Lonchura striata: one gene and its partners. The protein of the gene in region 3 binds, or shares a complex with, the protein of the main gene of each other region. Links are inferred from orthologs where the notes say so. Each region holds a gene or a part of one and is shown on either strand. Other genes may lie near its edges.

The links.
Region 1: EXOSC2 (region 3) and EXOSC9 share a complex: the UniProt entries of both Homo sapiens proteins name them as parts of the RNA exosome core complex. The link is inferred for Lonchura striata from reciprocal best matches to the Homo sapiens genes EXOSC2 and EXOSC9.
Region 2: EXOSC2 (region 3) and EXOSC4 share a complex: the UniProt entries of both Homo sapiens proteins name them as parts of the RNA exosome core complex. The link is inferred for Lonchura striata from reciprocal best matches to the Homo sapiens genes EXOSC2 and EXOSC4.

Annotation. Positions count from the first base shown.
Region 1 is NC_134606.1:69,539,461-69,546,635, reverse strand, and holds the start of EXOSC9 (exosome complex component RRP45), read left to right. Parts: upstream 1-4,168; 5' UTR 4,169-4,209; coding exon 4,210-4,275; intron 4,276-4,449; coding exon 4,450-4,544; intron 4,545-5,133; coding exon 5,134-5,253; intron 5,254-5,339; coding exon 5,340-5,442; intron 5,443-5,856; coding exon 5,857-5,994; intron 5,995-6,101; coding exon 6,102-6,184; intron 6,185-6,316; coding exon 6,317-6,449; intron 6,450-6,916; coding exon 6,917-7,005; intron 7,006-7,175. UniProt on the Homo sapiens protein: Non-catalytic component of the RNA exosome complex which has 3'->5' exoribonuclease activity and participates in a multitude of cellular RNA processing and degradation events.
Region 2 is NC_134603.1:819,497-826,595, reverse strand, and holds the start of EXOSC4 (exosome complex component RRP41), read right to left. Parts: upstream 3,008-7,099; coding exon 2,837-3,007; intron 1,755-2,836; coding exon 1,536-1,754; intron 1-1,535. UniProt on the Homo sapiens protein: Non-catalytic component of the RNA exosome complex which has 3'->5' exoribonuclease activity and participates in a multitude of cellular RNA processing and degradation events.
Region 3 is NW_027461138.1:109,898-117,679, forward strand, and holds the start of EXOSC2 (exosome complex component RRP4), read left to right. Parts: upstream 1-4,763; 5' UTR 4,764-4,844; coding exon 4,845-4,969; intron 4,970-5,047; coding exon 5,048-5,149; intron 5,150-5,308; coding exon 5,309-5,354; intron 5,355-5,588; coding exon 5,589-5,678; intron 5,679-5,789; coding exon 5,790-5,855; intron 5,856-5,989; coding exon 5,990-6,058; intron 6,059-6,904; coding exon 6,905-7,081; intron 7,082-7,256; coding exon 7,257-7,385; intron 7,386-7,782. Other genes in the region: PRDM12 (PR domain zinc finger protein 12), read left to right, coding at 1,416-1,527, 2,430-2,812. UniProt on the Homo sapiens protein: Non-catalytic component of the RNA exosome complex which has 3'->5' exoribonuclease activity and participates in a multitude of cellular RNA processing and degradation events.

The DNA.
Region 1 (7,175 bases), on a different chromosome or scaffold from region 3:
ATTACCTGGTGGAAAAAGGCAAGGCCAGCACCCATCATTCTCCAGTGCTCTGTGGTCTCTGACACAATAATTGGACACTTTCCCATTTTGCTTGTATTACTACGAGGAATTCAACTACTCACAGCAGTTTTCTTGTAAGAATTTCTGGGCAGGGAATGAAGAATTGGGATCTTTGGAAAATATGGGGAGATTAAGATTTATATGTGGTACACAGAGGATTCTTCATGTGAGACAGTCTGCTTCTGTGCACGAGACACTGATGGGTGGCTGTTCTACACAACAGGAGACACTTCTCTACCACACTTCTATCTTTTAACAACACCTGCATTCTAAGATACAACTTTAAAAGTGAAATTTCCTTTAAAATCAGCTGAGTCAACAAAAAGATGCATCCCCTGTTTTAAATGGAGAATTTTAGTATCAAGATTTTAAGAGAGGTTTTCCATACAGAACAACAAAAATGCTTGATTGAGAAAGATTATGACTCCCAGCATTTCAAGGCAGTCAAGATTAATTTCTGGTCTGTAACAGATACTTGGAAGCTGAATAAGCAGGAAAAATAATTGGGGGAAAAAAAGCCATTTTGATTTAATGGTTCAACTTGATTATCTGATTATCCCCCAATGTTATTAAACGTGCTATTATCTCTTAGGGATCAGATGTCAGTAAGCTTGTCAGTACTCTGGATTTCCTCTGTATTGTAAGACTGTCAATATGTGGTATCAGCAAACATTTTCTGGCACCTTTCCAATAGGAAAAAAAAAACATCAACAACAACAAAAAAAAAAACCAGCTTCCAAATAGATATTCACTTCATTTTCACACTCCTGAGCTCTTGCCTCAAGCCAGTATTTAACCTATCTGTCAAGTAATATTTAAGATTAGGATATGAGAAAGTGCTTTTATTCAGGCAACAGTTTTGGTCTATTTTTGCCTATTCCCCATGAAACAAAATTACAGTTTCTACTTCAACATGGACATCTGTTGCTTCTTAAGAGAATTTGAAGATGCTTCTAAAAGGTTTGAAAATCTTAAACCACATTAAAATCTGAACTCAGACATTGATTTGTATATTCAGAGCCTTCAACTCAAACTGTAACAATTCTGGTTTAGCATGACACTTCACTCAGCAACTGGTTTCACTTGAATCCATAGAAATTATTGAAACAGTTTGCCTGGAGACAAGGAAATTGCAGAGTGTGGAGACAAATAAAAGGAGAAGTGTAACTTCTTTTCCTCTGACTTTGTTGCTTGCCTGGCATCCAGCCTTGGAAACACTTTCCACTTTCCCCAAGGGATTGCTGAGAGCTGGGAATCAGTGTTCATTCAATGCAGCACTGTCTACAGGTTCAGAATTTCTGGCAGGACCCTTTGGAGCAAAAAACTTCTTTCATGAGAGCAGGAAACCCCAAGAGGTGATGTGAAGGCTAAAGTACAGGTGGAAACAGCAAGAATATTTTGGGGTTTACTCTGAAATCTAGCCTATGGAAACATGATCGAGCAAGCATTCAGCAAGCAGATGAAGATGTTATTACCAACTTGCCTTAAGATGGTGTTTAGATGATTTCCTGGCAGTTCTGGATCCCCTCCCTTTTTTTTTTTTTTTTTTTAAATTTATTTTTAAATAAAATTATTTCAGCATATATACCAGGCAACTCCTTTCCTATATTTTAGCCTTGGAAGCTGTGACACATTCCTTCTAATACGTAAGGGACAAAGGTGCTTCAGACAAAGAGCTTGTTTGAGTGCTTCACTGGATCCTGGCCAGAATATCCTGTTCCTCATCTCAGCAGGAGGTACTGTTCATGCCTCACTTCTGCCAGCAGCGCTGCTTGCAAGGATTGCCCATCCTCCCACACCCCCTGGAACTTTCATCATAAAAACAAATTATAAATTACATTATTACATCTAGGCAGAGCCTTTCTTCCCAAATAACCTTATCAGCTGGAGCACTGCATACATCATGTCATGCATGGATGATATGTGTCAATGAGCAGGACTCGCAGCCAAGCAGCAAAGGCACATTGCAGTTAAGGCTGAGATGGAAAGAGAAGGTCAATTTCTTATTTATTTTGATTAGGCTATAAAAATCAATGGCAGCTTGCTGTCAAGATGCAGAGATTCTGATGCAGTTTGGTTTTCTTCTCCAGTCCTCAAATGCGATTTTCCCTCCAGGCTCGGTTCAGTAAAATAATCCAATTCAAGCATTTCAGCCCACAGAGCATTCAGCTCAAATGAAGAAACACTTCCATGTGGGCACAGTAGATCATCACGATCTTCTTTCTAAAAATTCCTGCTTTAGCCTAAGTACCTGTGATTTATTTGCTCATTTATTCACTCTGCAGGGTGCAACACTCACTCCTTCTGAATACCCAGAGTATTTCCATTATTTCATTACCACTGTAGCCCTGCCCCTCACTGTTCAGAAACACAGAAATTACTCAGCTCCTATTTCATTAACCATTTATACTGATCTTGTTTTCTCTGTACCCTCCTCCTACAGATTTCCAATGATGTGTTTTTATGCCTCCTTAATTTGTCCATTAAATTCTTTACCCTTCTTAGCACATGTACAAGCACCAAAGCTGCAAAGTAGCCTTTGTGTGAAGAAGACTGTGTGGATCAAAGGGGACGCAGCTGATTTCCAGCCCCAATACATGACTTATTTCCCCTGGAATTACATCCAGCTCCCACTGAAGTTCACCATCACCACCACCTTCTCTTTTGAAAACGTGCTTTTCCGCCAGCCCGATAGATCGAGTCACTTAACAGTTCACTGAGAGAGCAGGAACAGGAATTTTCCCACTCCACCTCAAGCAGAAATCTCAATATATGCTGAAATTAACATATTTTTGTAATTGACGAAGAGTAAAGTAGTTTGGACAACTCCCACAAACAAAAAAAAACGCTTCCAAATTTGCTGTTAGTAAACTTGAAGAGTTACAGAATTTAACCCCAAGCCTTCGCTAATGAATATTGTCGCCAAATTCACACCAAAAAAGTAAAATCAGACAGAATTTCCACGTAAAAATTGTCAGTAAAACTCCAAGGGCAATTTGCTTATTTTTGTCCTTGGAGAAGGAGTGTCTTTCTGTAATTTTATAGATATTTTCTTACACCTATTATTTGTGATGATATTTATCCTAAACTGAAAATATAAAACCAGCATGGGAAAATCAGGCAGCACTTGTCCTCACTAGCACAAACTTGTGAGTTTTAGAAACACGACTTACATTTTAGTTTGTACCAGAACTGTAGTGTATTAACAAGGCTTGAAAAGACAGCGTGACTGAGCTATTTCAACACTTTTGTGTGGAATATGCCAGTGTCTGGGGTTTAGTATTGGTGGGAAGACAATAGATTTTCTCGTTTTAGCTCAAACGAAGCATAAAAGCCACTTGTAAAGGCCTTTTTACTTACGGGCAACATTTCAGAACAGCAGGGAGGGATGTTCTGCTGGCAGCCCGGGTGCCGCGGGGCATCCGCACCTGGAGGGCTGGGCACCACAATAGTGTTAACCACTCGAAATGTCCGGCATGCATGTTTTGTGCGGTTTTTTTGTTGGGTTTTTTTGTGTTTTTTTTTTTTTTTTTTTTTTTTTGTTGTTGTTGTTGTTGTTGTTTGTTTGGTTGTTTTTTTTTAAATTCCAGATGGCTTTCCTGAGGACCGGCACTCCGGCACCATTTGTCGCTGCCGAGGCGCTGAGGCGCGCACCCTCACACCCTGCACCGGCGCGCCTTCTCCTCGGGTGCTGCGTGCAGTTTTGGGCACCGCAGTAAGGAAAAGACAGGGAGCTGCTGGAGAGCACGAGGGTGCTGAAGGGCCCGGAGGGGAAGCCGTGTGAGGGGCGCCTGGGGGCGCTTGGTCTGTTCAGCTGGCGGAGACTGAGGGGAGACCTCAGCATCCTCGGGAGGGGGAGCGGAGGGGCAATGCCGATCTCTGCACTCTGGTGACCAGGGATAGGACTCGGGGAAGCAGCGTGAAGCTGAGTGGGGGCAGGTTTAGCTCGGATAGCAGGAAGTTTCCCCAAGCAGAGCGCGCTGCCGCCCGGCTACGGGAGTCTCGGGGCCGCGCCCTCCCTGAGGGGGCGCGCGCGGGGGCGGCAACGCCGCGGCGCGTGCGCGCTGGGCACGCGCGGCGCGCGGCGATGACGCGCGCGCTCCCCCCCCGCGCCGTGCCCCGCGCGCGCTGCCCCCTCACGGCGCGGCCATGAAGGCGACGCCGCTCTCCAACTGCGAGCGGCGCTTCCTGCTCCGCGCCATCCAGGAGAAGAAGGTGCGGCGCCAGCACCCCCCTCCCCGCCCCTTTCCCCATCCCTTTCCCCATCCCCTTGCCCGCCGCCCGCGGAGCGCGGCTGTCGCCGGGAGCCGCCTCCCCCGCCGCGGTGCCGTCGCATGGCGGGCATGGCGCACCGACCCTCTCCATGTGTGTGTCCCTGTGTTCCCGCAGCGCCTGGACGGGAGGCAGTGCTACGACTACCGGAACATCCGCGTCTCCTTCGGCGCGGACCGCGGCTGCTGCATGGTGGAGCTGGGCAGGACCAGGTGGGCGCGGGGGCTCGGCCGCGGGCCCCGGGCCAAGGAGAGCCTGAGGTTCCCCTGCCTGCAGACATCTCTGTAAACAGATTTTAACCTTTCAAGCCCTAAAGCCCTAGTATTTCAAGGGTGGGAGCAAAGAGGAGAGGATGGAAAGGAAGGAAGCGGGAAAGGGATGGGGTTTCCGTGATGATTGTAGTTACAAATAATTTATAAAATGCAGAATTGTTCCCAGGTTTTCATCCGTTTATTCAGTGGTCTCACGTTTTGCATTCTTCCCCAGACCAAACAACCCTTTTTTGCCTGTGTAAAAGTGAAATCTGTGCATTTACATAAATATGTCATTACAGTTTCTCATGTGTTTGAGTCAATTCTTAGTCTTAAAAGACAGGAGTACGTTCTAGTTCTTAACATTTGGCTCCTTCAGTTGTTGACCAGATTTTAAATAATGTTTGACAGATGTTGAACGAGAAACTGTCAGGAGTGAGAATTACAAACTAAAACCCTAACCACATGCTTTTTTCTCCCCAAGTATGTGTTTTGTTTCTAGATTTTCCCTGGTATTTTCTGTGACTTGGTGGTTTATTTGCCTTGGCAGGGTTCTTGCACAGGTCTCGTGTGAACTCGTTCCGCCTAAGCCCAGTCGACCCACAGAGGGTGTGCTCTTCTTCAATCTGGAGCTCTCACCCATGGCTGCACCTGGGCTGGAGCCTGGCAGGTAATGCATGTCTTAAAAGGAGTAAACAGGGATGGCATAAAAGCCACTGTAATCGTATTGACTTTGGGTTAATTTTATTCCAACAGACAATCTGAGTTACTGGTGTCACTGAACAGACTACTGGAGCGATGCCTCAGAGATTCCAAATGTATTGAGACTGAATCTCTCTGCGTTGTTGCTGGTGAAAAGGTAGGAAAACTTCTTCATTCCTGGTGGGTTTAAACTAAAAAATACATATAGTCCAATTTTAAGTTGGTCTCTGTCTTGTGTTGGATAGTAGAAGTACTGATTTTAGGTTAATGTAAAGATCCACTCATCTGATTTGAGAGGTATTTTTAACTTGTCATGTCTGCATAGGCTTTCTGAAGTAGCTGGGACCCTACAGAATGTTGTTTAAATTGTGCTGAAGTGCTGCATATTTTGTCCTAATTAAATCTGGCACAGTGGGTCTCTTGAAATATACCTAGATCTCTAATCTTCTTAGTCAAAGACCTAGGGAAAATATATTGGTTCTTTGTCTGTTTCAAAAAAGATGAACTAGTTTTGAAGAAAAATTAATTTCTGTAGAATCAAGCAGTTTTGTATTTTTTGTATTTTTGTCAGGTTTGGCAAATTCGGCTGGACATGCACCTGTTAAACCATGATGGCAACATCACTGATGCTGCCAGCATAGCAGGGATTGTAGCTCTGTGTCATTTTCGCAGGCCAGATGTGTCTGTGCAAGGAGAGGAAGTAACTGTGGTAAGCTGGGTTTTTGTTTCTGTTTTAAATTTCCTGAAATTTCTTTGTCACTTTAAAATTAAACGAGTTTAATAAATAACTGTATTCTGGGCCAATTCCTTTCCAAGTACACTCCTGAGGAACGTGATCCTGTCCCCTTGAGTATCCACCACATGCCCATTTGTGTCAGTTTTGCCTTCTTCCATCAAGGGTAAGATTTTGAGGTCTTATGTACCCACATAAGGGGTATAAACCTTGCCAACTCCTTTGTTTAATTGTGTTTAAGGGTAGTAAGGTGTCTCGAATTTCTACTGTTGCCTCATATTTCAAACCTTGATTCTAGGACCTATTTGTTGGTGGACCCAACTGAACGTGAGGAGCGGGTGATGGATGGGCTCCTCGTAATTGCCATGAATAAACACCATGAAATTTGTACCATCCAGTCCAGTGGAGTGGTCATGCTGCTGCCAGATCAGGTAAACCTTTGCTCTGATCAGTCCTTCTGTGGTGTATAGACTGGTTCCTGTGCTGCAGTCTTGATGTGGAAATATCCATGACATTTGGAAGCTGAGAAACCAATTAACTGTCTGATTTTATTGGAAAAGATTGTGTATTTTTTCTTTTAGTGGAAGAGCATAGTACTGTGTACCATGCTGCTGAAGGGGTGTAGAAAATGCATAGTTTTTGGTCAGATATTTATCTTTTTATTTTCCCTGTGATCTGGCTGAAAAAAATGTGCAGATTATTTCCAGTTGCACTCTGGAAGCTGCTAACTTTTTGTATGTCTCAATGAATCCAGTCCTTCATGCTAAGGGTGCTATATTTTAAGTGTTTGAAATTCCTGTGATTTAAATGTTTGTGATTCTTATGATGCTCTATAGTTTCAGTTAAAAACGTGTTGATTTCGTGGTTGTAAACTGGTTTTTGTATGTGTAACAAACAGATTCTGAGATGCACTAAAATAACAGCTGTTAAGGTCGCAGAAATAACAGAACTGATTCAGAAAGCCTTGGAAAATGACCAAAAAGCCAGGTGAGTGTTTTGGGAAGGGATGGAAATGGGGGTTTTTAAGAAATGTAGTAAAAAACTAATGTCCATCAGCAAATTGTCTTCATTTGTATTTGTTTTAAAGAGCAAGTGTTTGTATATTTGAACTTGAAAAGAGAAGCAACTTTTGTTTATCCTGAAATAATGTCTGTTGC
Region 2 (7,099 bases), on a different chromosome or scaffold from region 3:
ACAGGGGCCCGAGTGCCCCAGCAGCGCCAGCCCGGCCGCGCTGACGCTGGCCCCCAGCTCGCCGCCGTCCGCCTGCAGCACCTGGGGGGAGAGCGGGGTCAGGGGCACCCCAAACTCCCAAAATCCACCCAAAATCCACCCAAAATTCACCCAAAAATCCCACAGAGCCCGAGTGCCCCAGCAGCGCCAGCCCGGCCGCGCTGACGCTGGCCCCCAGCTCACCGCCGTCCACCTGCAGCACCTGGGGGGAAGAGCACTCAGAGACACCCCAAAAACACCCAAAACACCCCAAAATCCACCCAAAACAGCCCAGAAACACCCAAAACACCCCACAGATCCTGTGTGCCCCAGCCTGGCCGCGCTGACGCTGGCCCCCAGCTCACCCCTGTCTGCCTGTAGCACCTTCGGGGACAAGGGGTGACTCAAAATCCCCCAAAACACCCAAAATAACCCCCAGGATCCCCCAAATCCCCCCAAACTCTCCCAAATCCCCCCCAAAGCCCTGACCTGGACATGCACGTCGATCTGCGAGCGCGGGTAGAGCTGTGCCAGCACGGCGCCCTCCAGCACGCCCCGCAGCAGCAGGGCACCCCCAAACACCCCCAGACCCTCCCAGGACACCCCCAAAACCCCCAGGACACCCCCAAACCCCCCCAGGACACCCCCAGGACACCCCCAAACCCCCCAGGACACCCCCAAACCCCCCCAGGACACCCCCAAACCGCTCACCTGGACGTGCACGTCGATCTGCGAGCGCGGGTAGAGCTGTGCCAGCACGGCGCCCTCCAGCACGCCCCGCAGCAGCAGGGCACCCCCAAACACCCCCAAAGCCCCCCAGGACACCCCCAAACCCCTCCAGGACACCCCCAAAACCCCCCCAGGACACCCCCAAACACCCCCAGGACACCCCCAAGCCCCCCCAGGGTCACCTGTACGTGCACGTCGATCTGCGAGCGCGGGTAGAGCTGTGCCAGCACGGCGCCCTCCAGCACGCCCCGCAGCAGCAGGGCACCCCCAAACCCCCCCAAAGCCCCCCAGGACACCCCCAAACCCCCCCAGGACACCCCCAAAACCCCCAGGACACCCCCAAACCCCCCCCAGGGTCACCTGTACGTGCACGTCGATCTGCGAGCGCGGGTAGAGCTGTGCCAGCACGGCGCCCTCCATCACGCCCCGCAGCAGCAGGGCACCCCCAAACACTCCCAAACCCCCCCAGGACACCCCCAAAACCCCCAGGACACCCCCAAACCCCCCCAGACCCCCCCAAACCCCCCCAGGACACCCCCAAACCCCCCCAGGACACCCCCAAACCGCTCACCTGTACGTGCACGTCGATCTGCGAGCGCGGGTAGAGCTGTGCCAGCACGGCGCCCTCCAGCACGCCCCGCAGCAGCAGGGCACCCCCAAACACCCCCAAAGCCCCCCAGGACACCCCCAAACCCCCCAGGACACCCCCAAACCCCCCAGGACACCCCCAAACCCCCCCAGGACACCCCCAAACCCCCCAGGACACCCCCAAACCCCCACAGGGTCACCTGTACGTGCACGTCGATCTGCGAGCGCGGGTAGAGCTGTGCCAGCACGGCGCCCTCCAGCACGCCCCGCAGCAGCAGCGCTCGCTCCGCCGCCCGCCGGTCGCTGCCGCCCTGCGCCGGGCGCCGCCGCCGCTCGCCGCCCCCCGCGAACGGCGCCGCGCTGCAGCGGCAGCTGAGCAGCGCCCGGTCCGGCGGGGCCTTGGCCCGGGACCCCCGGACCTGGGGGGAAAGGACATGGGGGGCTGTGGGACCCCCGGACCTGGGGGGAAAGGGGATGGGAGTGGGGGGCAAGGACATGGGGGGCCTTGGCCCGGGACCCCCAGAGCTGGGGGAAAGGGGATGGAGTGGGGGGCAAGGACATGGGGGGCTGTGGGACCCCCGAACCTGCGGGGGAAACGGGGATGGGAGTGGGGGGCACGGACATGGGGGGCTGTGGGACCCCCGGACCTGGGGGGAAAGGGGATGGGAGTGGGGGGAGCATGGACATGGGGGGCTGTGGGACCCCCGACCCTGCGGGGGAAAAGGGGATGGAGTGGGGGGAGCACGGGCAGGGGGGGCTGTGGGACCCCCGAACCTGTGAGAAAGGGGATGGGAGTGGGGAGAATAGACATGGGGGGGGGCTTGACCCGGGACCCCCGAACCTGCGGGGAGAAAGGGGATGGGAGTGGGGGGCACGGACATGGGGGAGCATGGACATGGGGGGCTGTGGGACCCCCAGAGCTGGGGGAAAAGGGGATGGGAGTGGGGGGAGCATGGACATGGGGGGCTGTGGGACCCCCAGAGCTGGGGGGGAAATTGGAGGGCTGGGAGTGGGGGGGCACACAAAGGGTGGGGCTGGGGGACCCCCAGAGCTGGGGGGGGGGGGGTAAACATCAGGGACTGGGGGGACCCGGAGATGGGGAGGCTGTGGGACCCCCAAAGCTGCAAGGAAAAAAGGGGGGCTGGGGGGGGGGGGGGGGCGTGGGACCCACACAAGTGGGGGGGGGGGAGAGAAATGGGGGGAGGGCACAAATTGGGGAGGGGGGCTCAGAATGGGGGACCCTGAAAGTCCCGGGAGGAGGGGGGAGACTGAGGGGGGGTCACAAGCCCCGAGGGGATTCACGAACCCAGGGGAAGTTCACAAGCCCCGGGAGAGGCTCACAAGCCCCAGGGGAGGTTCACAAACCCCGGGAGAGGCTCACAAGCCCCAGGGGAGGTTCACAAGCCCCGGGAGAGGCTCACAAGCCCCGGGAGAGGCTCACAAGCCCCGGGGAAGTTCACAAGCCCCGGGAGAGGCTCAGAAGCGCCGCGGCCCCGCTCACCTCGTGCGGGCCGTACACGGCCGCCAGCACTTTGGTGTTGCCCTGCTCCAGGTAGGCCGAGCCGTCCGCCCGGGCCAGCACCCCGAGCCGGGCCCGCACCTTGCGCAGCTCGTCCGGCCGGCGCCCGTCCGCCCGGAACCCCGCGTCGGACAGCAGCTCCAGCCCCGCCATGCCGGCACCGCGTGAGGGGCGGGACTACGGCTCCCGGCGTGCCCCGCGCCCGGCACCGCGTGAGGGGCGGGACTACGGCTCCCGGCGTGCCCCGCGCCCGGCACCGCGTGAGGGGCGGGACTACGGCTCCCGGCGTGCCCCGCGCCGGGACCGCGTGAGGGGCGGGACTACGGCTCCCGGCGTGCCCCGCGCCCGACGGAAGCTCCAGCCCCGCCATGCCGGCGCCGCGTGAGGGGCGGGACTACAACTCCCGGCGTGCCCCGCGCAAGCCGCCCGCCAACGGGAGGCACCGCCCCCGTGACGCTCCCGCGGCGGAAGCCACGCCCCTTGTGACGCAACCCCACACAGATCACGCCCCATTCGGGCCACGCCCCCGGACAGAGACCACGCCCCCCGCGGGGCGGTGCCCCGGTACCGCCCGAGGCCCCGCCCCTAAACCACGCCCTAAACCACGCCCCCCCGAGGCCCCGCCCCTCGGCCGGTTCGCGGCACCGGGCGGGACCCAACGGGACCCAACGGGACCCAACGGGACCCAACGGGACCCAACGGGACCGGGCGGGACCGGGGCGGCCGCAGCGCCCCCTGGCGGAGCGGCAGCACCGGGACCCCGCGGCACGGCCCGGCTCCGAGCCCGGCCCGTCCCGACCCGTGCGGCTCCGGCACCGAGCCTCGCACCGGGGCAGAACCGGCACCGGTCCTTCCCGGACAGCGCCGAGCCCTTGTCCCAGCGGCAGCGAGCGCTCACCGGGGGTAGCGGACCGGACCGGAGCGACCCTTCCCCGGCTGACCCCTGTCCGGCCGGCCCGACCTTGTCCAGGCCGGAGCGGAGCCCCGGGGCCGCCGCTCCCGGTGCCGGTGCCGGTGCCGGTGCCGGTCCCGCCATGGCGGCGCCGCTCGCCCCCGCCGGGTTCCAGTTCGCCATCGACCGCGGCGGGACCTTCACGGACGTGTTCGCCCGCTGCCCCGGCGGCCGCGTCCGCGTCCTCAAGCTGCTCTCCGAGGACCCGGCGTACCGGGACGCGCCCACCGAGGGCATCCGCCGCGTCCTGCAGGAGGTGCGAGCGACCCCCGGGCCCCGGGAGCGGCGGGGACGGCGGGGACAGCGAGGGGACACGGCGGGGGGACAGGGGGGACAGCGAGGGGACACGGCGGGGGGACAGGGGGGACAGCGAGGGGACACGGCGGGGGGACAGCGGGGACAGCGAGGGGACACGGCGGGGGGACAGCGGGAACACATCGGGACCCCCCGAGTGTCCTGCTGGGACCCCCGGGACACGGCGGGGACACGGCGGGACCCCCGGGACCCCCCGAGTGTCCTGCTGGGACCTCCGGTACCCCCGGGACACGGCGGGACCCCCGGGACACGGCGGGGACACAGCGGGACCCCCGGGACCCCCCGAGTGCCCTGCTGGGACCCCCGGGACACGGCGGGACCCCCGGGACACGGCGGGGACACAGCGGGACCCCCGGGACACGGCGGGGTACCACGGGACCCGCCCGAGGTCACCGGGACCCCCGGGACCCCCCGAGTGCCCTGCTGGGACCCCCGGTACCCCCGGGACCCCCGGGACACGGCGGGGACACGGCGGGATCTCCGGGACCCCCCGAGTGTCCTGCTGGGACCCCCGGGATCCCCGGGACCCCCGGGACACGGCGGGGTACCACGGGACCCGCCCGAGGTCACCGGGACCCCGGGACCCCCCGAGTGCCCTGCTGGGACCCCCGGGAGCACAGGGACCCCCCTGAGGAACTCCCCGGGACCACCGGGAACCCCCAAAGGACCCCACGGGGACCCCCCTCAAATGCCTCTCACAGGGACCCCCGTGGGGAATCCCGGGACCCCCGTGGGGAACCCCCAGACCCCTCCCGGCCCCCCTAAGCCCCCCAGCCCTGGGCCTGCCTGGACCCCCTGCCCCAGCCCGTGCGGGGGGTCCCCAAATGGGTCTGGGGGTCCCCAAGTGGGTCTGGGGACCCCAAAATGGGTCTGGGGACCCCAAATAAGTCTGGGGGTCCCCAAATGGGTCTGGAGGGCCCAAATAGGTCTGGGGTCCCCAAATGGGTCTGGGGTCCTGGGTCTCAGTTTTAGGGTCCTGCAGGAGCTGGGGGTCCCAGGTGAATTTGGGGTCCCGGGGCTCAGTTTTGGGGACCCCCCAGGAGCTGGGGGTGCCGCTGTGGCTCTGGGGTCCCGGGTGAATTTGGGGTCCCGGGGCTCAGTTTTGGGTCCCGGGGCTCAGTTTTGGGGTCCCGGGTGAATTTTGAGGTCCCGGGGCTCAGTTTTGGGTGCCGGGGCTCAGTTTTGGGGTGCCGCAGGAGCTGGGGGTGCCGCTGTGGGTCTGGGGTGCCGGGGCTCAGTTTTGGGGTGCCGCAGGAGCTGGGGGTGCCGCTGTGGGTCTGGGGTGCCGGGGCTCAGTTTGGGGTGCCGGGGCTCAGTTTTGGGGTCCCGGGTGAATTTGGGGTCCCGGGGCTCAGTTTTGGGTCCCGGGGCTCAGTTTTGGGGTCCCGGGGCTCAGTTTTGGGGCGCCGCAGGAGCTGGGGGTGCCGCTGTGGGTCTGGGGTGCCGGGGCTCAGTTTTGGGGTGCCGGGGCTCAGTTTGGGGTGCCGGGGCTCAGTTTTGGGGTCCCGGGGCTCAGTTTTGGGTCCCGGGGCTCAGTTTTGGGGCGCCGCAGGAGCTGGGGGTGCCGCTGTGGGTCTGGGGTGCCGGGGCTCAGTTTTGGGGTGCCGGGGCTCAGTTTGGGGTGCCGGGGCTCAGTTTTGGGGTCCCGGGGCTCAGTTTGGGGTGCCGGGGCTCAGTTTGGGGTGCCGGGGCTCAGTTTTGGGGTCCCGGGGCTCAGTTTGGGGTGCCGGGGCTCAGTTTTGGGGTGCCGGGGCTCAGTTTTGGGGTCCCGGGGCTCAGTTTTGGGTGCCGGGGCTCAGTTTTGGGGTGCCGCAGGAGCTGGGGGTGCCGCTGTGGGTCTGGGGTCCCGGGGCTCAGTTTTGGGGTCCCGGGGCTCAGTTTTGGGGTGCCGGGGCTCAGTTTTGGGGTCCCGGGGCTCAGTTTTGGGGTCCCCGGTGAATTTTGAGGTCCCGGGGCTCAGTTTTGGGGTGCCGGGGCTCAGTTTTGGGTGCCGGGGCTCAGTTTTGGGGTGCCGCAGGAGCTGGGGGTGCCGCTGTGGGTCTGGGGTCCCGGGGCTCAGTTTTGGGGTTCCGCAGGAGCTGGGGGTGCCGGGGCTCAGTTTGGGGTCCCCGGGCTCAGTTTGGGGTGCCGGGGCTCAGTTTGGGGTCCCCGGGCTCAGTTTGGGGTCCCGGGGCTCAGTTTGGGGTGCCGGGGCTCAGTTTTGGGGTGCCGCAGGAGCTGGGGGTGCCGCTGCCGCGGGAGCAGCCCCTGGACGCCGCCGGGATCCAGTGGATCCGCATGGGCACCACGGTGGCCACCAACGCGCTGCTGCAGCGGCGCGGGGAGCGCGCGGCGCTGGCCGTGACCCGCGGCTTCCGCCACCTGCTGCACATCGGCACGCAGGCACGCCCGCGCCTCTTCGACCTGGTGAGCACACCTGGGCACACCTGGGCACGGCTGGCACTCACCTGGGCACGGCTGGCACTCACCTGGGCACTCACCTGTACCCAAACCCACCCCAAACCCACCCCAAACCCAACAACCCAAACCCACCCCACACCGGCACCTGCTGCACATCGGCACGCAGGCGCGCCCGCGCCTCTTCGACCTGGTGAGCACCTGGGCACGGCTGGGGCACACCTGGGCACGGCTGGCACTCACCTGGGCACTCACCTGTACCCAAACCCACCCCAAACCCACCCCAAACCCAACAACCCAAACCCACCCCACACCGGCACCTGCTGCACATCGGCACGCAGGCGCGCCCGCGCCTCTTCGACCTGGTGAGCACCTGGGCACACCTGGGCACGGCTGGCACTCACCTGGGCACTCACCTGTACCCAAACCCACCCCAAACCCACCCCAAACCCACCCCACACCGGCACCTGCTGCACATCGGCACGCAGGCACGCCCGCGCCTCTTCGACCTGGTGAGCACCTGGCACACCTGGGCACACCTGGGCACGGCTGGCACTCACCTGGGCACGGCTGGCACTCAC
Region 3 (7,782 bases):
TTACCTTAGATATTTTTTAGATATTTTAATGCATTTTGCCCGTTCCTGCCCTTATTTGCTGATTTGATTTTCCCATCCTCTTTCTCAGCAATATCAAGTTGCTGCTGCTGGAAAATAAAACGAAGGCAGAAAGTTTTGGCCTTTGATCTGAAGGCCACAAGATTCCTGGGAGGCAATTTGAATTTGCTTTGGGGTGTATGCACATGGGTGCTCACCTGCTGCTGGTGTGGCTGCAGCAGCTTCAGCAAAAAAACCCACACACCCGTGTATGCACACCCATGCAGATTGTTTTATCCTTTCGGCAATATTTTATTTGCTTGTATTAAAAATGGCTAATTTTCTGTTAAGGGTATATAATGCCAAGAAACAGTGTCATCAGTTTGGGATGCAAAAGGATATCAGCTTCCTTTACCTCCCAAATTTCTCCTCTGCAGCCCAGGGAGGTCTTTATGCAGAGGGACAAAGATATGAAGTAAAATTCCTATTGATTTCAGATGCTTTAAATTCAACGTATTTTCAGTGTTGAGGTGATTGAACTTAGCATCTATGTTTCACATGGATGATGCTTTATTTGGATCTAACATGCTCAGTGTACAGAAAACAATTTTCCAATATACAGGACATTCCTGTTTCTAAATTAGATACTTAACAGTAGGAACTGCTAGGGAAAATATGTTTGGTTTTTTTTATAAATTATGTTGTTATTAGTGTTGTTTGAACTGGTCTGAGAGGATCCATCTTCCCAGCCACAGCTGCTGCATGAGGGGAGCCTTGAGCAGCGTTTCCTGGCCGCTTGCCCCAGCCATGCGGGAGCATGACAGGAACGGCAGGGACAGGAGAAGTGCCACCACTGCAGGGAAACAGGAGCATGGATGATGCAAAACCCCTGCCCTGCTCCTCTAGCTGTCCTTGGGCTGTTGCAGGCACTGCAGCTTTGGTGGGGGATAGAAGCAGGTTTCACACCTGAGCCACGGTCTCTGAGAGCAGCTCTGAGCTCTCCTCTGCCCCGCAGGCTGATGAGCCCTTTGCTGGCAGATCTGCGTTTCCACCTTCTAAAATCAGCCCTGGCAGGGTGGGTGGGAGGTGCTGCCCGTGACCTGCAGCTGAAGGGTACTGATGGCTCTGTCCAAAGATAAAATGCTCTGCTGGAGTGCTGAGTGGGGCTCCATGTCCCATATGTTTGTATCCCAGCTTGGGGGAGAGCCTGGAATGGTTTGTGCTGGTGCTGAGCTGCGCCATCACCTCCAGTGCTACATCCTGGGCTGTTCTGTGCCTCCCTGTGGGTGTTGGGGTCAGCTGGCAGGTCCCAGATGGCATCAGGATCTCACAGAAATGGGGCAGAAACAGGGTAGATCAGTGCAGGGATGGATGTTCATCACCCCTCCCAACAACCCTTTCTTTCTCTCTCTTTCTAGATGATTCCTCCAGACCAAGAGCTGCTGGTCTGGTATGGGAACTCCCACAACACCTTCCTGGGCATCCCAGGTGTGCCAGGGCTGGAAGAGGAGCAGAAGAAGAACAAACATGGTAGGTAACATCAGAATGAGCCAAGGGTGCAGCATCCCTGCCTGTTCACCCCGTGCCCAGCTCTGAGGGCACAAGGCAGGGACATCCCTGGGGTATGTCAGATATCCCAGTTCTCTGTGGACAAGCACAGGGACTGTGAAATGATCCACACAGCTTGAGCAGATCCTCAGTTATTCAGGGCGAAGCCTCCAGGCCAGCTTGCCCAAGGCTGCTGCGGGTGGGGTGGTGGCAGTCACTGCCTGACCCAGCCAGGCAGGGAGGAGCAGAGCAGGGTGTGAGTGCAAGGCAGCCCCAACACTCCGTGAAACACCAAGTGGATGCAGCCTCTACACCCGCACTCTGCATTTAAAGGATCTTAATCACCAGCACAGGAGGGCTGTCTCTGCTTGAGCTTCTGCTCTCCGCTCGTCTCAGTGGCTCCCTGAGGTGCTTCTCTGTGGCACAGCGGAGCTCAGGCTGTGTTTGGAGCCACTTCTGCGCTCCCTGACTTTGCTCCCCACTCTGAGAGAGCCATGTCTGAGCCCAGCAGAGCGAGGGGAGAAACTGGGACTGGGGCAGGGGCTGGACAGTGTGGTTGGGGGTTCCTGAGAGTCCTTGCACCCCCCTCCTCCAGCTCTGCTGCAGCCCAGGGAGGGGAAAATTGGTTTTGTGTCTATTTATAAGGGATTCATTCAGCTCAGCTTGAACATTCCCCTTACCTAAATCTGGCTGAGCCCATTCCCAGCACTAGCTGCATCTCAAAATCCTGAGATGCCGCTCTGCCCAGGATAGGTGACCACAGCAGCAGGGAGCCAGCAAGAAGGCACTGGGGGTTTTCCAGAGCACCCAGCAGCCCAGGGAATTGGGGTGGGCTGAGCTGCCGTGCTGGAGGGCAGCGCCTGACTATCTCCTGTCGTCCCCAGAGGATTTCCACGCAGTGGAGACGGGGGCCAGCACGACGGGGCGTATGCGCTGCGTCATCTGCCACCGCGGCTTCAACTCCCGCAGCAACCTGCGCTCCCACATGCGCATCCACACCCTGGACAAGCCCTTCGTGTGCCGCTTCTGCAACCGCCGCTTCAGCCAGTCCTCCACCCTCCGCAACCACGTCCGCTTGCACACGGGCGAGCGGCCCTACAAGTGCCAGGTTTGCCAAAGTGCCTATTCCCAGCTCGCAGGGCTGCGGGCCCACCAGAAAAGCGCCCGCCACCGGCCCCCCAACGCCTCCCTGCAGGCCCACTCGCCCGCCCTGCCCGTGCCCCACCCTGCCTCCCTGGCCCATCACATCCCCACCATGGTGCTGTGAAGCCCCCGGGATGGCAGCAGGATGTGGGACATCAAAGACTGATGCTGAGACATGCAATGAACTGGGGGGGTGACCCTTGGCTGAGCTGCTTTGTCTCGGAGGAGTGTTGGGTTGTTTTTGGGCATCGCTGACTGCAGGGGGTCGGCAGGAGGGAACCCCCAGCTCTGCAGCTGAGTTGTGGAGGAGCATCCCCAAGGAGGTGTGGCTGGTGCTCCCTGGGGTTGGCAGAGGAGAAGGGGTGCAGTGGGATGTGCTGTGTGGGTTTGCCAGTGCACTGCGGGAGGACTGGGAGAGCCGAAAAGCTGGGCCTGGAGGAGCCATGCCTGGATTTTACAGATAATTTGGTAGAAAGAAAAATTCCTGTTATCTGTCCTCCTCTGCTTTAGCAGACACGTGCCCCACTGAAATGTTGGCACGGCCCTGATGTGGCCCCCCCAGTCACACCTATTTGCCCTGGGAGTGACTTTGGTCCTGGTGGCTCCTTCCAAGGGACACCTTTCCCTCTTTGGGAGCCCCGAGTTAGTGAACATTCGCATTTTCCTGCACCTGAGCCCCCCGTGCCCGCCCTGCTCCAGCCAGAGCCGTGCCCTGGGGTCTGTCACCGCTCCAAGCCGTGCTGTGGGCAGAGGGGACACGGTGCCAGCTGGGAATGCCCATCCACAGGCAGGTTCTGCGGGGAACCTGAGCTCTGCCGGGCTCTTCTCCCCATCCCTTTCCCAGCTGTGAGGGAACATTCTGGTTGGAATTGCTACTGCCCTCTGGGGACAGAGAAAACCTGTCCCCGGGCCAGCTCTGTCCCCAAGGACAACTCTAAGCGCCCTCTGGAGTCCCCACACAGCGGAGGAGGGCTGTGTATCATAAATCTTAAAAGAAGGTATTCTAATATTAATTATAAGTCTAAGATGTATAAAGTTCTCACAAATGTGTTTCACTTCCAGAAGAAAATAAACAAAAACAAAAGAAAAAAAAAAAAACCCACCCCCAAACAACTGTCACTTTAACTTTGTAAATATTTATGTAAACATTATTTACAAGACTTTGATATTATATATTATTTGATTGTATATGTACACAGTGTAAATACATTTGTACCTCTCTTGTATTCTAAATAAAAATTACTTGGAACATTTATCATTTAGAAGAGGGATTGCATGGAGAGCTTTATTTTATGTGCCAGGGGAAGGATGTGGGTGTTGGGATGAATGAAGGTCTCAACTGCCACAACAATGTGTGAGTGAGGAGATGCGGTGTCATCTGTTGGACCAAGAATACACCTGGGAGGGGAAAAAAACCAGGTTTTGGCTAAAGAAGCCCTTTTTCAGGTCTGGAAGCTGGGGTAAGGGCTGGCTCACTCCAGAGTGGGTATGATTCTACCCTGCCAGTCCCTATTCTTGTGAACTTTTACAGCTCCTCTTTGAAGCCACAGCCACTGGACATCGTTTGATGCATCCCGTGAATTAGCGCCCATATTTCGGCTGTGATACAGGCGGGATATGGGTGTGGCATACAGGTGTAAGCCCTGCTGGAAGGAAGCGACATTATTTGCTGATGGCCATCGCAGCCCTGAGACTCTAACGGTGCTTGAATGGATTAAACTTTTCCACGGACGTATCAGTTCGTGCTGGCACAGCTCGGCCGAGGGGAAGGGCTCATCCACGGGGATGTTTAAGCCCAGAGTGAGCAGCGGCCAGCTGGGGAGGGCGTCAGAGGATGGCCCTCAGCGGGACACCTTGTGTGAGGGGCACCCGAACCGGGGGTGAGCCCCGGGAGAGCCCCGTGGCGTTCCCCGCGTTCGCCAGGAGGGTTCTGAGGGAGAGGGTCACTGCCCGGGGTGCCCTCACTAAAGATGGCCGCGGTTCCCTTTGGGCTCCACCGGAACGAAGCCCAACAGGCCCCTCGCTGCCAGAAACAAACATGGCTGCCCAGTCACCGCCCCTGCCGCCCTCACTCAAGATGGCGGCGCCCGCGCCCTCAGGCGCGCTTTCGCCAGCAGCCAACATGGCGGGCGGAAGGCGCGTACGGCGGGGCCAAGATGGCGGCGGTCACCATGAGGCTGCCGGCGGCCCGAGCGCCCCTGGATTCCAGCGCGCCCCGGAGCGGCGAGAAGCACCTGGTGGCACCGGGGGACACGATCACCACGGACACGGGATACATGAGGTGCGGGCAGCGGCGGAGGGGAGGCGGCGGGGCGGCGCGGCTTCGGGCTGTCCTTAGGTAGCCGCCGTCTCTCCGCAGGGGCCACGGTACTTATGTGGAGGACGACAAGCTGATCGCCTCGGTGGCCGGCGTGGTGGAGAGGGTGAACAAGCTGGTGTGTGTGAGGGCGCTGAAGGGCAGGTGAGCGCGGCGGCGAGGCCCGCTGTGAGGTGAGGGGTGTGGGGTGTGAGGTGTGGGGAGTGAGGTAAGGGGTGTGAGGTGTGGGGTGTGAGGTGTGGGGTGTGAGGTGAGGGGTGTGAGGTGTGGGGTGTGGGGTGTGACCGCCGCTCTCTGCCCCAGGTACAACGGCGAGATCGGCGACGTCGTGGTCGGCAGGATCACCGAGGTAAAGCCCCGTGTTTGTGCAGGAGGAGGAGCGTGGTCGTGGATCAGTCCGACTCTAAGCGCTTCCCGGGAGCCTAAAACACTGACACGCATCAGTGTCCGTGCACAGGGTGCTGGGAACGTGTGGATTTTTACTGGAATGAGGCTGGAAGAAGCCAGCAGAGCTTTCCCTCCTGCAGCTCAGTGCAGTTTTTGATTGTGTACCCATAAGTTTTGGTGGCTTTTTCCCCTTTAGGTTCAGCAGAAGCGATGGAAAGTGGAAATAAATTCCAGGCTGGATTCAGTCCTGTTGCTGTCGTCTATAAATTTACCTGGTGGGGAGCTGGTGAGTGTAGCTGGTTGTGTTTTGTGTGGCATCTTAAGGGCCCCCACAATGAGCTACTGATGGATATTTCCTCGTTCTGGGATACGTGTAACTTTTCTTGTGATGTTTCAGAGAAGGAAATCAGCAGAAGATGAGCTTGCAATGAGGGACTACCTGCAGGAAGGGGATCTCATCAGTGTATCCTGCTGCTCCCATTGACAGAAGAGCCAAGGGCATGGGAAGAACAGGGAGAGCTTGGCTGGGGGTGAGAGCTATGCTGGGGTGGCACTGGGCAGCCTTAGGGACTCTGTTTCCTTAAGTGGCACCGACAGGCAGAGGTCCAGTCTATATTTTCTGATGGGGCTGTATCGCTGCACACCCGGAGCCTGAAGTATGGGAAGGTGAGTTATTCCAAAGCCCTTGATCCTGGGAAAAATCTGCACCAGCTGACTTGTACAAGGCTTTTTAAAGAAAAGAGCTCTGAGTAGAGCAGGATGTTGTTATAACCCATTCCTGCAGGACAGGAAGACTCTCAGCTCTTCCACGGGACCACCAAGAAAAGTTTCCCCAAAACAGAGGAGGTGTCCTTGAGTTGCCCTTTGATCCACTGCTCTCCCCATCCACAGTTTCAGCCTGCTATTCTGTTTCCCCCCACTAGCCACTTAGGAATTCAATCCTGGGGAGAGATCTCCTCACTCCTTTCTGCTGGCTGTTGCCCCTGTGACTTGTTCCTCTCCCCAGGGCTCTATTTTAGGCTTTACACAGTTGGCATTTATCTCTGGTTTTGTGCATTGAAATAAGCCAAGGGGCCATTGGAGCGTAGGTTGCAGTTTGGGATTACCAGACCAAAGGTATTAACACTTAAAAGATGAAAGGGAAGTGTGCTTATTGCACAAAGGGTGAAGGACAGTGATTGGATTACCAGAGAAAGTGTTCTGCTAAATTGGGCCTCTGACTCCTCATTTTTCTGCAGGGATGGTTGATGTGTAGTTACAATCAAGATATTATTAACATTTGTGCTAAGCACTTAGAGTATTCTTCATCTTCAAAGGGCTGTGCAGGCAATTAGCTAATCCTCCCAGCGCTGCCAGAGGCAGGCAGGTTTTATATTCACTGTTTCACAGGAAAAGATGTTAAAACAGTGTTATTCCTAGGCCAGGAATGGAGTGAGTGTGTATCAGTGACTTGGTGTTATCTGTGGTGGTTCATGATATCTCTCACACTGAGCCTCGTGGTCTGCTCTCCAGCTTGCCCAGGGTGTGCTGGTTCAGGTCTCTCCCTCCCTTGTGAAACGCCAGAAGACTCATTTCCATGACCTGCCCTGTGGGGCATCCGTGATCCTCGGCAACAATGGCTTCATCTGGATCTACCCAACCCCGGAGCAGAAGGATGACGAGGCCGGAGGCTACACGGCCAACTTGGAGGTGAGCGTCCAGGGAACGTGAGCCTTCTTCTGCCAGTGATGGTTTTTAGTCTGACATAGTCAGAGGCACGTGAGGAACCCGAGACTTTCAGGATCTTGTGTTAGGTTCACAGCAAGGCTTTTTTACTTGCATTATTTCCCTGTGCATTCATCCCTTTTCCTCTGTCCTTCCTCAGCCAGTTCCCTTGTCTGACCGGGAGGTGATCTCACGGCTCCGAAACTGCATCATGGCTCTGGTTACTCACAAGATTATGCTCTTTGACACCAGCATCCTATATTGCTATGAAGCATCCCTTCCTCATCAGGTACAGGAACCAGTAGTGTTTATTCCACACTGAGGGGAGGGAACAGAAAGGCTGCATCAGTTGCTGCTGAAGTCAGAGTTTCCTTTCAACTTACCAAAGCACCCTGTAGTAAGCGACAGTATGAACTCTCCTCTTCTGCACAACATAAGTTGATTGCACAATTTTAAGGTTCTGCCTCTGGCAAAGACTAACTGTTCTTAAAGAGAGATCAGTTCCGTTTTTGATAGATGTTGTGTATCCCTTGCTGGGATTATGGACCCTTTAATTCCTGTGGAAACAGTTTTAAATTTGGCATTGTATGAGGGCACAGTGCATTTTATGAAGCAATGAAAAAGTAAATGTCATGTATTGTACAGAGAGCAGGCTCATGACTGTATCCACATCCTGCACTCTGGAA